Sus scrofa: one gene and its partner. The protein of the gene in region 1 purifies or fractionates together with the protein of each later gene. This does not show direct contact. Links are inferred from orthologs where the notes say so. Each region holds a gene or a part of one and is shown on either strand. Other genes may lie near its edges. The genes, in order: FYB and LCP2.

What was found.
Region 2: the proteins of FYB (region 1) and LCP2 purify together in Homo sapiens (co-immunoprecipitation; 6 studies listed by BioGRID and IntAct, with this or other methods). This does not show direct contact. The link is inferred for Sus scrofa from reciprocal best matches to the Homo sapiens genes FYB1 and LCP2.

What each region holds. Positions count from the first base shown.
Region 1 is NC_010458.4:24,363,772-24,369,997, reverse strand, and holds part of FYB (FYN-binding protein), read left to right. Parts: intron 1-1,192; coding exon 1,193-1,212; intron 1,213-1,911; coding exon 1,912-1,946; intron 1,947-3,122; coding exon 3,123-3,243; intron 3,244-5,172; coding exon 5,173-5,332; intron 5,333-5,832; coding exon 5,833-5,977; intron 5,978-6,226. UniProt on the Homo sapiens protein: Acts as an adapter protein of the FYN and LCP2 signaling cascades in T-cells. May play a role in linking T-cell signaling to remodeling of the actin cytoskeleton. Modulates the expression of IL2. Involved in platelet activation.
Region 2 is NC_010458.4:53,694,511-53,701,458, forward strand, and holds the start of LCP2 (lymphocyte cytosolic protein 2), read left to right. Parts: upstream 1-2,463; 5' UTR 2,464-2,938; coding exon 2,939-3,016; intron 3,017-6,948. UniProt on the Homo sapiens protein: Adapter protein primarily involved in signaling pathways within T-cells, as well as other immune cells such as platelets, mast cells, and natural killer (NK) cells.

The DNA of each region.
Region 1 (6,226 bases):
CCTTGATAATTTTTTTTTTTTTTTTTGCCATTTCTTGGGCTGCTCCCATGGCATATGGAGGTTCCCAGGCTAGGGGTCGAATCGGAGCTGTAGCTGCCAGCTTACGCCAGAGCCACAGCAACGCTGGATCTGAGCCGTGTCTGCGACCTACACCACAGCTCACAGCAACGCCAGATCATTAACCTGCTGAGCAAGGCCAGGGATCGAACCTGCAACCTCATGGTTCCTAGTTGGATTTGTTAACCACTGCACCACAACGGAAACTCCTTCCTTGATAAATTTTTTTATAGTGCCAGCAAATAAGTCTTTCACCTCCTTGGTCAGGTTTATTCCTAGGTATTTTATTTGGAGAGAAAAATATTATCTTCTATTTTCTTCTACGAAACTTATATTTAGGTCTTTGGTCTCTTGGCAGTTGACCTTTGAGGAGTTTGTAGAAATCCAAATTTGTTGTCTCTTTATGTAAAGTCAGTTTTCTCATCACTATATTCTGAAATCCACTCTTTTTTCATTAATTTATACTGCCACCTTTACTGTATTAGCTGTATTAGTGTGTTTATGTCTTTGTACACATGGTGTATTTGTGTGTGCATAATGTGTGTTTCTGTTTGCATGTGTGTAATTTGGGTATCTGTTTCTGAGCTCTCTGCTGTGTTCCATTGTCTATTTGTTTTAATATCAATACTACACTGTTTATTATTATTGTTTTATATTATGTCTTAATATTTGGTAATTTGTTGATGTTACTAAACACTTGAGCAGTAAAATATCTTTTTGAAAAATCCTATTAACTTGATTTGTTTGATACATGAAAGTAAATCCTTGGGAGCAAATAAATCAAAAACTGTGAGCTAGTTGTGATTTTCTGGTCATACCTTTGTTCTACACAAGCCCACAAAATCAAACATGTGTATTTTTCATAAAGAAATAAAGAGTGTCTTCATTATGTTTTGGTTTTTGCATTATTTTATGAAAGCCAATGAAATGATTTTGTAATTAAATTCCAAGATTCAAAAAAGCAATAATAGGGATCTAAACCACATGTTCTATTTTGTACTTACATACCTTGGGTAAAGCAAAAGTTCTGTTAGATTATAAACTGATTTGAATATTATATTGCATTTCATAATTCATGTTAAACCACTTCTTAATTAGAGTATATTAAATTGTATTCTTTTTTTAAATACTTTAGGTACTGGAAATCTCGATGAGGTCAGTTTTTCTTTCCTTCTTATATTACTGTCAATAGAATATTTAACCATTACTGTGATTCATTATCTTTTTTTCTTTTTTTGTATTTGAAGGGCCACACCCACAGCATATGGAAGTTCCCAGACTAGAAATCAAATCGGAGCTATACCCCACAGCCTACACCACAGCCACAGCAACACCAGATTCAAGCTACATCTGCAACCTACACCACAGCGCACAGCAACGCCAGATCCTTAACCCTCTGAGCAAGGCCATGGATCAAACCTGCGCCCTATGGATACTAGTAGGGTTCATTACTACTGAGCCACAATGGCAACTCTGTGATTCATTTTCTATTGGTAAAGGAACAAATGAAAATTCTTTGGAGTTAATGATGGTATTTTTTCACTTATAATCTTATTTTATCTGAAATGCTTGAGACATTAAACACCAATTATTACACTGACTCATAGTAATTTTGCAGCACTGAACATGAGCTCAGGTCTGGCTATATATCTGGATTATATAGCTGGATAGAAAATGGAATCTTTTTGTGTTTATTTTCTCAGTCTACTTCTAAAAGGAAAAAAATATGTTTTAAACATTCAAATTTATATGCAATTAAATTTATGTTTGTTTTACTGAGTATTTGAGCAATGAAATATGTGTATGTTCCCTTATTAAATAATTACAATTAATCATCATTGTTTTTCTTGACAGGAGCAAGAGAGTGAAGGAGAAACATATGAAGACATGTATGCATTACATTTTTTTACCATGATATTTTCCTTCTAAGATAAATGCAATGATTTGTAAGAGGGGGTGCAGATAGATATTCAACACTAGAGGAGAGACGCTCTATTGTTCAAATAAAGGGCTTATAATGATAACATTTATTTCAGTACAAGGGACTAAAGATTCTTTTCTTGTCTAAGGATTTTTCAGAGGACCCTGTTCAAATGCCGTTGTGAAAGGAGTTGGGAGCCTACACCCCACTAGATAGCCCACAGGCAGGGAATCCAGGGGTGGGAATCTGTATTTCCCACTCTTGGCAAGTCCTTGGGCAAATGCATTCATGTCCATGTAACACAATCCTCACCTAGGCAGCCCTTCGCCTCACAACTGTTCCATGAGAGACAGTTCAACACAGCACCAGATGCCAAAGTGTCGGCCTGCTAAAGCAGAAAAAATGTTTAAAATAGCTCCAAAAGAGACTTCTGGGTGGCCCAAGACTAAATTTCTCAGAAAATGAGGGAAAGTAGAAATGAGCATCGTATTTTATCTTTTGCTGATTCAGATACCTTAATTTTCTCTACCCAGTTCTTATTCAACTAATTCTGACTAAAAGTTTGGGAATTAAGGTTTGCACATACACATGTGTATGTGCACTTGTACCAGTGAGTGTGCACATGAGAGAGAAAGAGAGAGAGAGAGATGCATGCTATTCATGCCAACAGGCCTCAAGAGCAGGGCCTTTATGGGAGTTCCCGTTGTGGTGCAGTGGAAACGAAGCTGACTAGTATCCATGAGGACATGTGTTCAATCCCTGGCCTCGCTTAGTGGGTTAGAGATCCTGCAGCTCTGATTTGACCCCTAGCCTGGGAACTTCCACATGCTTCAAGTGCAGCCCTAAAAAGCAAAAAAAAAAAAAAAAAAAAAAAAAAAAAGAACAGGGTTTATGGACAGTGGTTTCTACTTGCTGGCATGAGTTTAGGGGTAGCAGAGCCTTTGGAAGGTATCCTCATGTATAGGCCTTCTGCCGTTTTTAAGAACCATCTCATACACCCAGGAATTTTGACAAGCCTTGGCTTTGTGCCTTCACCTGTACTTCAGACACTGCCTTCTGTGGTGGGCAGGAACTCTCTGGAGGGTGAGCCCTAACACATCCATGCCTGCAGATGCTGAAACAACCTAACAATGTTTATCCTCAGAGAAGCATCCAAAGAAAAAGAGAAGAAAAGAGAAAAAGAGGAAAAGAAGAGATTAGAGCTGGAGAAAAAAGAACAAAAAGAGAGAGAAAAGAAAGAACAAGAAATAAAGAAGAAATTTAAAGTAAGACCTCGCTTGCTAATGAATGAAAAGGAGTAACTTCTTTTTTTTTAATATAATGGGTTTTTTTTAATATAATGGCTTTTATTTTTTTCCCTTATAGCTGGTTTACAGAAGGAGTAACTTCTTTTTTTTTTAATATAATGGGTTTTTTAATATAATGGTTTTTATTTTTTCCCTTATAGTTGGTTTACAGTGTTGTGCACGTGTACATTTTTTTAAAAGGAGTTACTTCTTTATAACTTTCACACAAAAGGGGCACCATTTTTGAAACCTTACATATTTGGAAAATTTAATCATTGTTTTCAAGAGTAACTACCTTCATAACAGTAAGGTTTTTGTCCAATACTCTCCCTTATCTTGCACTAAAAATGCAATATAAGAAAATTCAAATAGGAGTTCCCACTGTGGCTCAGTGGGTCAAGAATCTGACAAAGTGTCCGTGAGGATGCAGGTTCAATCCCTGGCCTCACTCAGTGGAGTTAAGGATCTGGCATTGCTGAAATCTGTGGTGTAAATCACAGATGTGGCTCAGATCTGATATTGCTGTGGCTGTGGCATAGACCACAGCTGCAACTCCGATTCAACCCCTAGCCGGGGAACTTCCATGTGCCGTGGGTGCAGCCATAACAAGAAAAAATAAATTAATTTTTTAAAAGTTAAAAAAATAAAATTCAGATAAAATATGGCAGCTTATGAGTTGCATAAAATCCAAATAAAATATAGTTGGAGCTCAAGAAATTCTACGTCGGTTGAGTGAATGAATACTTGGTTGGTTCCTTAAGACCCTTCTTGACTCTCCTCATCATGCATTTCACGTTAACCTACTTATAATAGGAGCTCAGACCCACACACTTAGCTATTCCTGTGGCATGTATAAAGTGGGGCAAGGGACAGGAGTGTCTCTGGATCAACCATACCTGTCTCAGAATCTCCAAGCTACTCTGATGGCTGATGTCTAGACCTGACTTACATTTTTGCCTGTGTTTTAAGCCTGTGTACATATTGACTTCTGATACTTGCTCTTTCTCATCCCTCTTCATCTGCCTGGATTTCTGACCTCTGTCTTCTCTGATGTCTAATTGTGTGACTTCTATTACTGCCACCACTAAGACTGCACTTGCAGAACGTACTGGCCTGGCTAGTCTGTCTTTGAAAACATGACCCATCTGGTGTGGGTTTGATATGTCAGCTACATTTAGAGTGATTATCTGGGTGACAAAACTATTCTTCACTTTAAAAAGGATAACATTATCAAGTTTCCTTTGAATATTTAATTCTTCCAAAACATTTAATATGTGGTTTAAATTATAGAAATGTGATTTATATACAACTTCCCAGTATATTTCTTATAATAAAATAAAGATTCAACAGCAGGGCACAGGGAAAATGTAAAGCTTAGACTCAGTTGAACAGATGGGCATTGAAATTCCAGATGCACCTGTGAGTTATTTGATGGTGTTCATGTTACTAAGCTTCTCTGAACCTCAGGTTTTTATTTCTAAAGTGAGTAAACGATAGCTCTCCTGAAATTTTATTATGGCATTAAATAAAATAATGCACATAAGGTGCTGTATCATTTATAGGTTCTCATTCAGTTTTTCTTACTATATATAATTAAAACTAAGATTGCAGTATGAACATCAAAACATTTTAATCATACAGTCTATATGGTTACGAGCGTTTAGAAATTTTCAAGCGTAAAACATGAAAAACTAATTTCTTAAATGAAAAATTTTATAGCATATCTATTATAAAGAGATTGTTTATAGTTTTGAAGGAATTATATAAAGATTTTCATTGTGGTTTTTTTCTGAAAAATCACATTGTTTGGCTTATTCATTCAAATAATATTTGTTAGTAAGAAAAAATAGGATATAGAAATCATGCCACTAAATATGAATTTGTAATTTTTTTTCCCCCTCTTTGCAGCTCACGGGCCCTATTCAAGTCATCCATCAAGCAAAAGCTTGCTGTGATGTCAAAGGAGGGAAAAATGAACTGAGTGTCAAGCAAGGAGAGCAAATTGAAATAATCCGCATCACAGACAACCCTGAAGGGAAATGGCTGGGCCGAACAGCCAAGGGGTCCTGTGAGTGCCAGTTTCCTAAAACTTCAAAGTGTTTTCTTTTTGGGCCAATATGAATGTGAAAATTCTTCCAACAGGCATTACTTTCATAGGCATTAAGTTGCAAGTATGTTATAGGGTGGACAAAGATGAGAAGATTTTTAAAGGACGGGCATGGCTCCATTTTCACCTCATCTGTGTAATCTTTTTAGTGGGGGAAAAAAATGCAAACATTTATATTATTCCAGGGAGGAGCAAAGAGCATTAGATGCTTCACGGACGTTAAAAGACAAAAATGGTTCGTATGAATCACCTTGGAATCTCGAAAACTGATTCAAGGCTTATCCCAAACCACAACAGTGTTAAGACTTGACAAGGTACAGTGAGCGAGCCTAGGAAGTCTGTAAATCAGAATTGCAAGCAAAGAAATAAAGGGAAGATTTAGAGAGCAAATGTGCAGTGAATAACAACTCTAGGATATTTAAACTTCAGTTACTGAACATGAGTCATTCCCCTTTTGGTAGACGGCTATATTAAAACAACGGCGGTAGAGATTGACTATGATTCCTTGAAACGGAAAAAAACCTCTCTTGGTGCCCTTTCATCAAGACCTGTTGAAGATGACCAGGAAGTATATGATGATGTCGCAGAGCAAGAAAATGTTAGCAGGTATGTTAAATGCAAATTGTACAGCAAATCAAACAGTCTCTTTGTCAGAGATTGTGTATTTTTAAGGTGCCAGAATTTTACTTTCCACATTCTTACTGCTCTCTATCACTAAACTAAATTACCGTTTGCAGTCACTTCAATATGGTTGAAAAGTTGTTTGAAATTCCATAGTCTTTTGTTTTGCTCTTTGGTTATACGTATCCAATACTACTTGAACTATAATGGGCCATTTGCCGGGTGTTGCCAAAG
Region 2 (6,948 bases), about 29 Mb from region 1:
GAGAAGAAAGAGACGGGTGAGGAGCCCCCACCCGGCCCTGCCCCAGGCCACGGCTCCAATCCCTGTGCCTTACCTGCTCCCCACTCTCTGCTCTGCTTCAAGCTTGCAGCCTAGACTGATGCTCTCTGGAGGATGGCTGCGCGTGGGCCCCTGCCCTCCTCGCTGCACCAGCTCCTTGGCCGAGGGCTGTTTGCTGAGACCTCTGTCATCACGGCCCTTGTTACAGGTGTGGGGCCTGGGGCTGGACCAAGTGAGCTGGCCTGTCCAGGGCCTTCTTGGTCTCTCTGGTGTTCTGATCCTCTTTTGGGGACCAGCTTGCCCTGCCCCTAGGACTTCTGGAGGCTCTAGCCGGAGACAGGAGATGTGAAACTCCTGAGTGTTGGGCAATTACCGAGGACTGGGGAAGCAGAGAGGCTGCTGGCCGACGCAACCAGCTTCCCCTTTCGCCACCGTCTGTCCCGGATCAGCTGCTCTTTCTGGGCAGCTCCCCTGTGGGGAGGGCACACCAAAGCCTGCCTCACAGAAAGGGCTCTGTCCTCTTCTGAACGGGACCAGACTGACAACCCCACTTGCTCTCCATGGAAACTGCACAGGCTCTGGAGACAGAGTTGAGTTTGAAGCCCTGCTCCACCTAGGGCAATTTATGTCACATCTCAGAGCCCCACGGTGGCAGAGATGTAAGGGACAGGGGCTCTGGGCTCAGAGAGGGTTCCAGACAAGATCCTTTCATGCAATCTACATGCTGGAGCAAGGGGGGCAAGGAGCTCCACTTCTCTGAGCCTCAGCTTTCTCTTCCGGAAAATAGGAATTATAATAGTGCCAACAATAAATTAAGACAATGACTGCAGAGTCCTCAGCCCCCTCCTTGGCCCAGATGAAGGGCCCCACACATTGATTTGTGACAATTCTCATCACCGTCATCACTGCCACTCAGGCTCCTTAACCCCTGTGTCTCTCTTCTAAACAGGCTCCATGGATTGTCCATCTTGGCACTTTTATTGCATAATTCTGCCAGAAGAGCCTAAATATTTAGCTATACCTTAATTCCAACTTCTGCTTTCCTGTAGATGTTTTTTTTTCTTGGGAGTGTGGGTGAACACTACTTTCAAAATCGCTTTTCCTTCTAAGGCTGATGATCGTGAATGCTCCTTTCTACAGATGTGATGTGCTTTGTTCACAAAGTACAGCCCAACACACCCCCCACCCCCACCCCCACACGCATGCATACTCAGGTTCAGAATGCCTTCCCTCGGCATATTCCAAGGCCCTGCTTCAACTCCAACTAATCCGATTACATCTTCTTTGATTGCCCTACTTGGATGTGATTTCTCTCTCTTCCTCTCTTTTCAAATGGTTTTTTATCATTGGCAGCTCTCCTGGGGATTTGAAAAATGAAGTGACCTCTCCCACCAGTGGTGGAGCTTTGGAACAGCAGGCTATGCGCTGGAGAGCACGACCCATTATTAAGAGCTCTTAGGTTCCAGCCTTGTGAGCAGCACTTGGCCTGGGCTGCTTCAGTTAAGGTCCCCAGCATCCTCTGAGGTGAGGATGACATCAGCTCAGGTTCCTAGAGCGCTTCCAGGAAGGTCCTAAGCCTGGGCAGTGCAGACCTCATTGGCACAACCACCTGGCCAGGCAGGTGCACTGCAGTGAGGACGGGGCTGCTTAGATTATACATAAGATGGGAACTGTGCATGGCCAAAGCTCGCCTTGAGAAAGCTTCGGGAAGGCGCCACCTCGGGGGCAACTTAACATCACTCAGTAAGTGTAACAGAGCGTGGTTCATTTTTCAAGCCACTGGATAGATGGCCATCTCTGTGTGTGTGTGCACGGAGCACTAGATAGAGCGGCGAACTTGTGTTTGGAGGCTGTGATGGTGCACACGTATGTTTGCTTTTAGACACTGGACTCACCCTCAGTGAAGGAGAGTCTCCAATACAAGAAGCGTACAGAGTCTGAGACGGACTGAGAAAATAGGTGAGTCCCATTGCCTGTCTCCAGGGATGTGCTCTTTACATAAAATATATGGAGAAATTAATAATAAATACAATATATGGTGGGAACATGGTGACTATAAAATGTGACAGCATCAACAGCGACTGTTACTTCTTCCTTTAACTTTCCCCCCTTAAGTTTGTCTAGTTAAATGCATCTCAGTTTTACACGCACACAAAGCAGCAATTCTTCCGCGATCCCAGTTTACAGGTACGGAAACTGAGCTTCCTAGAGTTTAGGTCCTTGCCTGAGGTTGCACAGCAGGGAAACAGTCACATCAGAAATTAAGCGGGGTCTGCCCAGGGGAGCCCCTTCTCAGCCCTGGATGCCCCAGTCATCAACCCGCTCACAGAGGATGCTCTCATAGTATCTATAAGGAGGCAACCCAAAGAAGCTCAACTTGATCCTTCTGAGAAACCCAGTGGGGGGTGGAGGCATTAAAAGGTCACGTTCCTTCCCCTTCACTGATGGGGGAGATTGTCTACATTTTAGGTCAACCGTCAAGTTAGATTTCATCTGCAAAGACCCAGATGAGCAGGAATGTAGTTCAGACATACGAGTGCAGGGATTTTAATGGAAACTTCGAACTCCCCTTGATCACCCCTCCCTGGGCTGCGTGGACAGGCCAGTGGGGAATTACCAGCCCTGTAGTTCTCTCTGACTCTCAAGCCCCCAGAGTTGGGCTTCCTTGTTTACTTATTTAGAGCCCGGCAGAGGAAGTGGTAAAGGAAACTTGCTGAGTCGTTTTCTGAGAAGAGACCATATTTGTTCGCAGAGGAAGCTGTTGCTTTCTGGGATCGGGCTACAGCAGAAAGGACGTCTGCTCCAACGAGGCTTTTCCAGAGAGTACCTGGGAGTTGGAAGAGCCAAGGACGCCTCTGTGCTCTGGATTTGGGGTTCTCTGTCCATGGGCGCAACAGCCACACGCAGCTCGTGAGCAGCCATGGCATTCAGGAACGTGCCCTTTCGCTCCGAGGTTCTGGCCTGGGACGCCGACAGCCTCGCAGACTATTTCAAGAAGGTGAGCCTTACTCTTTTGTGAGTGGCGGGGCTGGGGAGGTACTTGAGGATGGAGCCTGGGCAGAACCTGAGAGGCGTGACAGATAGCAGCGGAACATCCAGCCCGGTGCCATCTCGCCAGCCAAGCCAGCACCATAGATAGACATTTGCTGCTGAGTGCTGCTGGCAGTGCCTTCTGGGGAGAAGAGAGGTCTCAAAGGGACACGGACCTCCTAGGTGCCAGGGCTGGAGTTTGTGCTCTTTAGGCCCGGTCCCACTCAGCTCCCTACAGGATCGCCGTCCTCCCTGCTCAGCTGCAAAATAAGCTCAGGGAGGCTAACCAGCCCAAAGCCCCAGGGACTACATATGACAGAGGCCGGATTCCAGTCACACCTGTCTGGTTTCAAAGTCCCTGCTCTGAGACTCAGAACTGTGGTACCTGCTAGTGAGGCTACTTGCTAGAAAGTGGAGACAAGGAGTCTTGGGGGACAAGAGAAGAAAGACGAGGTCAGAGGCTATGATGAACGATGCTGGAGAGGGTGTCTGGGCAAGTCATTGCTCGTGACCTTGAAAGAGAACTTTTCAGGCCCTTACCTGGACAGAGTCTCACTGGAGCTGTATGAGGGTCTTTTGAGGCAGCCCAGGAGACTGACATGAGCCCTAGGTTATAGCTAGGGAAACTGGGGTCCCTAAAGAGAAAAAGATTTGCTGGGGTGGGGGTCAGAGGCCAAGGTTGTGGCGGAGACCAGGGTGTTTTTGTCCTGCCTTCCAGCCTTGAAGATGCTCAAAGATCCCTGTGCTTGGTCATCTGCTGGTGGGGCTGCAGTGGCACATCTGCGTGGGCAGATCCCAAGCCACCTGACTCAGTTAGGTACCCTCTGTCCTTGTCCAAGGTATACGATGTCTTATGAGGGACATTTGAGTTTCTAACACCCCATCTCTGGAGGGTGACATCAAATTCGGTTGATACTCTGAATTATAACAAAGATAAGACTTTTAAGTGCAGAACTTAGAGGTTATTAAGTCGATGTTCTGTTTTCCTTGGGGGTGGCCTTGGCTCCCTGGGACACATAGCCCAGCTTGGGGTCTATATGGTACCAGGGTATTTCCTGTTACTGCTGTTCTTGCCTAAGAAAAATGTGAAAATGTTGAAGCGGGTGTGGCATGATAGAGGCACAGCCCACAGATCCTGTTACTTGCTGGGTTTTCTTTGTGCATGTCATTTCTGTTATTTTTACCTCCAAAAGATCATAAAAACTTAGGTTTCAGCACTGCGGGTACAAAGATCATTGAGATAACCGACTTTCGAAGGGTGTTTTTAAATACTTTCCTTAAATGTAGACCAAATACATTAGAGCCACATGTGAAATTTACTAAGGTGCTCTAAAGTGGCATATTGCCTCAATAAAGAAAGGAGAAAAGAATTAGGAATTACTGAGGCATACTTGGGGATGGATTGAGAAGCAGAGACAGGCCCCATCTCCAATGTGATAGGAATTACATAACCCTGTACAGCAATTGAAGAATTCATGGGTAAAGTTCCCCTTAGTACAGGGAGATAGACTACATGTCAGAATGATTCAGGGTGAAGGCTCTCTGCCTGAGTTGGGGGAAGGAAGAGTTTTCTTTGTGGAGACCTCAGACTCTGGGTAGAGTCCACAGCACCTGGACAGGTTCCCTCTCCCAGCAGGAAAGGTCTGAGGGCAGGAATGAGGAGACCGAGGGACACCTGGGAGCCAGGAGGTCCCAGCATCCCCACAGACGCAGAGAGACACTCTTCAAACCCTCAGCACCTCAGTTCCCCCAGAGAGCAAATGCCACGTGAACTGACCATGGAGTCATCTGGGGAAAGACCTTAGCCAGCAAAAGTCCTATTGGCAGCTATGACTTCTAATGAAGCACTGGGGGCCTGCCCCCTTGGAAGTACCTCCCTAGCCAGCTCTGGAGCCAGACACACCTTGGTTTGAATCTTGGCTTTGCCACCTGCTGGCTCGGTGACCTTCCCTTGGTTACTTCACCTCTCTGTGCCTTGGCTTTCTCATCAGTAAAAGAGAGATCCTAACGGTGACTAACCTCACAGGATCACTGGGAGAATCAAAGGCAATGCATGTGTGAGGCCTTTAGCAGAGGGGGGCCCATTCGTGTTTGATCTTCCCTTTCTCCTGCTCTGCTCACTGGACCCTCGCTGGGGACATCATGCAGATCACTGGGCCTTTGTGTCTCACCATCTCAGCTACGTGCAGCTCATCCTCTGTCTGGAACGCAGGCCTCTGAGGACTGAGGTCATGTTTTATGTCTCTTTAACTCTTGGACTTCTTTTGGCACGGCAGGAAGACATCCTGGGCCATGCAGTGGAGGAGACTTTGGCTTAGAGCTATGAGGGGCTTTTTTTCTTTTTTCTTTTTAGGGCCACACCTGTAGCATATGGATGTTCCCAGACTAGGGGTTGAAAAGGAGCTATAGCTGCCAGCCTACACCACAGCCACAGCAATGCAGGATCCTAGCCGAGTCTGTGACCTACACCACAGCTCATAGCAACACCAGATCCGTAACCCACTGAGCGAGGCTGGGGATCAAACCCACATCCTCATGGATACCTGTCAGGTTTGCTACCGCTGAGTCACAATCGGAACTTCCAGAGAGCTGTGAGTTCTAATCCTGGTTTTGTCCCCAGCTCACTGTGTGACCTTAGGCCAGTCCCTTCCCTTCTCCGGGCCTAGCTACAACACTAGGGACCTCCCCCAGACCAGTGCCAACCAAAGCTGAGCACTCAAAAGAATCATCTAAGCATATGATAGAAATACTGCTGCCCCCAGGCCTAGATATTACTGGCTCAGAATCAAACTCCCAGGCAGGCCCCAGTCTGCAGGGCTGTGTGTCTATCTAGAGTCCAAGCCAGCATTCTGCAAAATCAGAGAGTCAACTGATAATGATGAGAAAACAATGAATTAAAGGCAACTGAGGAGTTCCTGCTGTGGCGCAACAGGATTGGCAGCATCTTGCGAGTGCTGGGACATAGGTTCAGTCCCTGGCCCAGGGCGGTGGGTTAAGGATCTGGTGTAGTTGCAGCTATGGCTTAGGTCGCAACTGCGGCTCGGATCTGATCCCTGGCCCGGGGACTCCATATGCTGCTGGGTGGCCAAAAAAGAAAAAAGAAAAAAAAAAAAAAAAAAAAAGCAGCTGAATATTCTAAGAACCATTTTACCCCACAGTATGTAGATAAAAGGGGTGCTTGGCGTTCCACAGAGGCTGCTTGTTTTCTACATGACCCCTAAATCAGCTTCTCCTGAGCTTTCTCATAACCATCCTACCCTAGCAGGCCTTGAGGTTAGAGCAACTGCATTCACGCTTTAGATGTGCTGGCTGTAAGAAAAGGCCAAGATTTTAAGTTTGCTCTGAAATAAGGCGGCCATACAAACTGCAAGCCCCATCCTTGTGAAGAGAAGCTAGGATTCTCAAGACAAGCATTTAATCTTAAATACTCTAGCCTGAGACGTCAAATCATTTAGAGATATTTCACATGCAAATGCTTATGCTGTTGAGGATGAAGGAAAACAGGCACCTGATTCAATTGTTAATTGAGGGGACCCTTTAGAAAAGCAACCCAGACCCTAGAATGATCATTCCTGTTGATTCTACAACTCCAATCCGAAAATCTAAATTAAACCATTTAAAACAGAAGAAAAAAACTGTATGCAGGAGACTATCCACGACGTTCTAGACTGTGGTCTGCATGGGATGTTCATCTGCACTTAAATCTGTTCTCTTATTGGAGTTCCCGTTGTGGCGCAGCGGAAGCGAGTCTGACTAGGGGCCATAGGGTTGCAGGTTCAATCCTTGGGCTCGTTTAGTGGGTTAAGGATCCGGCGTTGCCATAAGTGGTGGTGTAGGTCACAGACGTGGCTCGTGGCTCAGGTCCTGCATTGCTGTGGCTCTGGTGTAGGCCGGCAGATA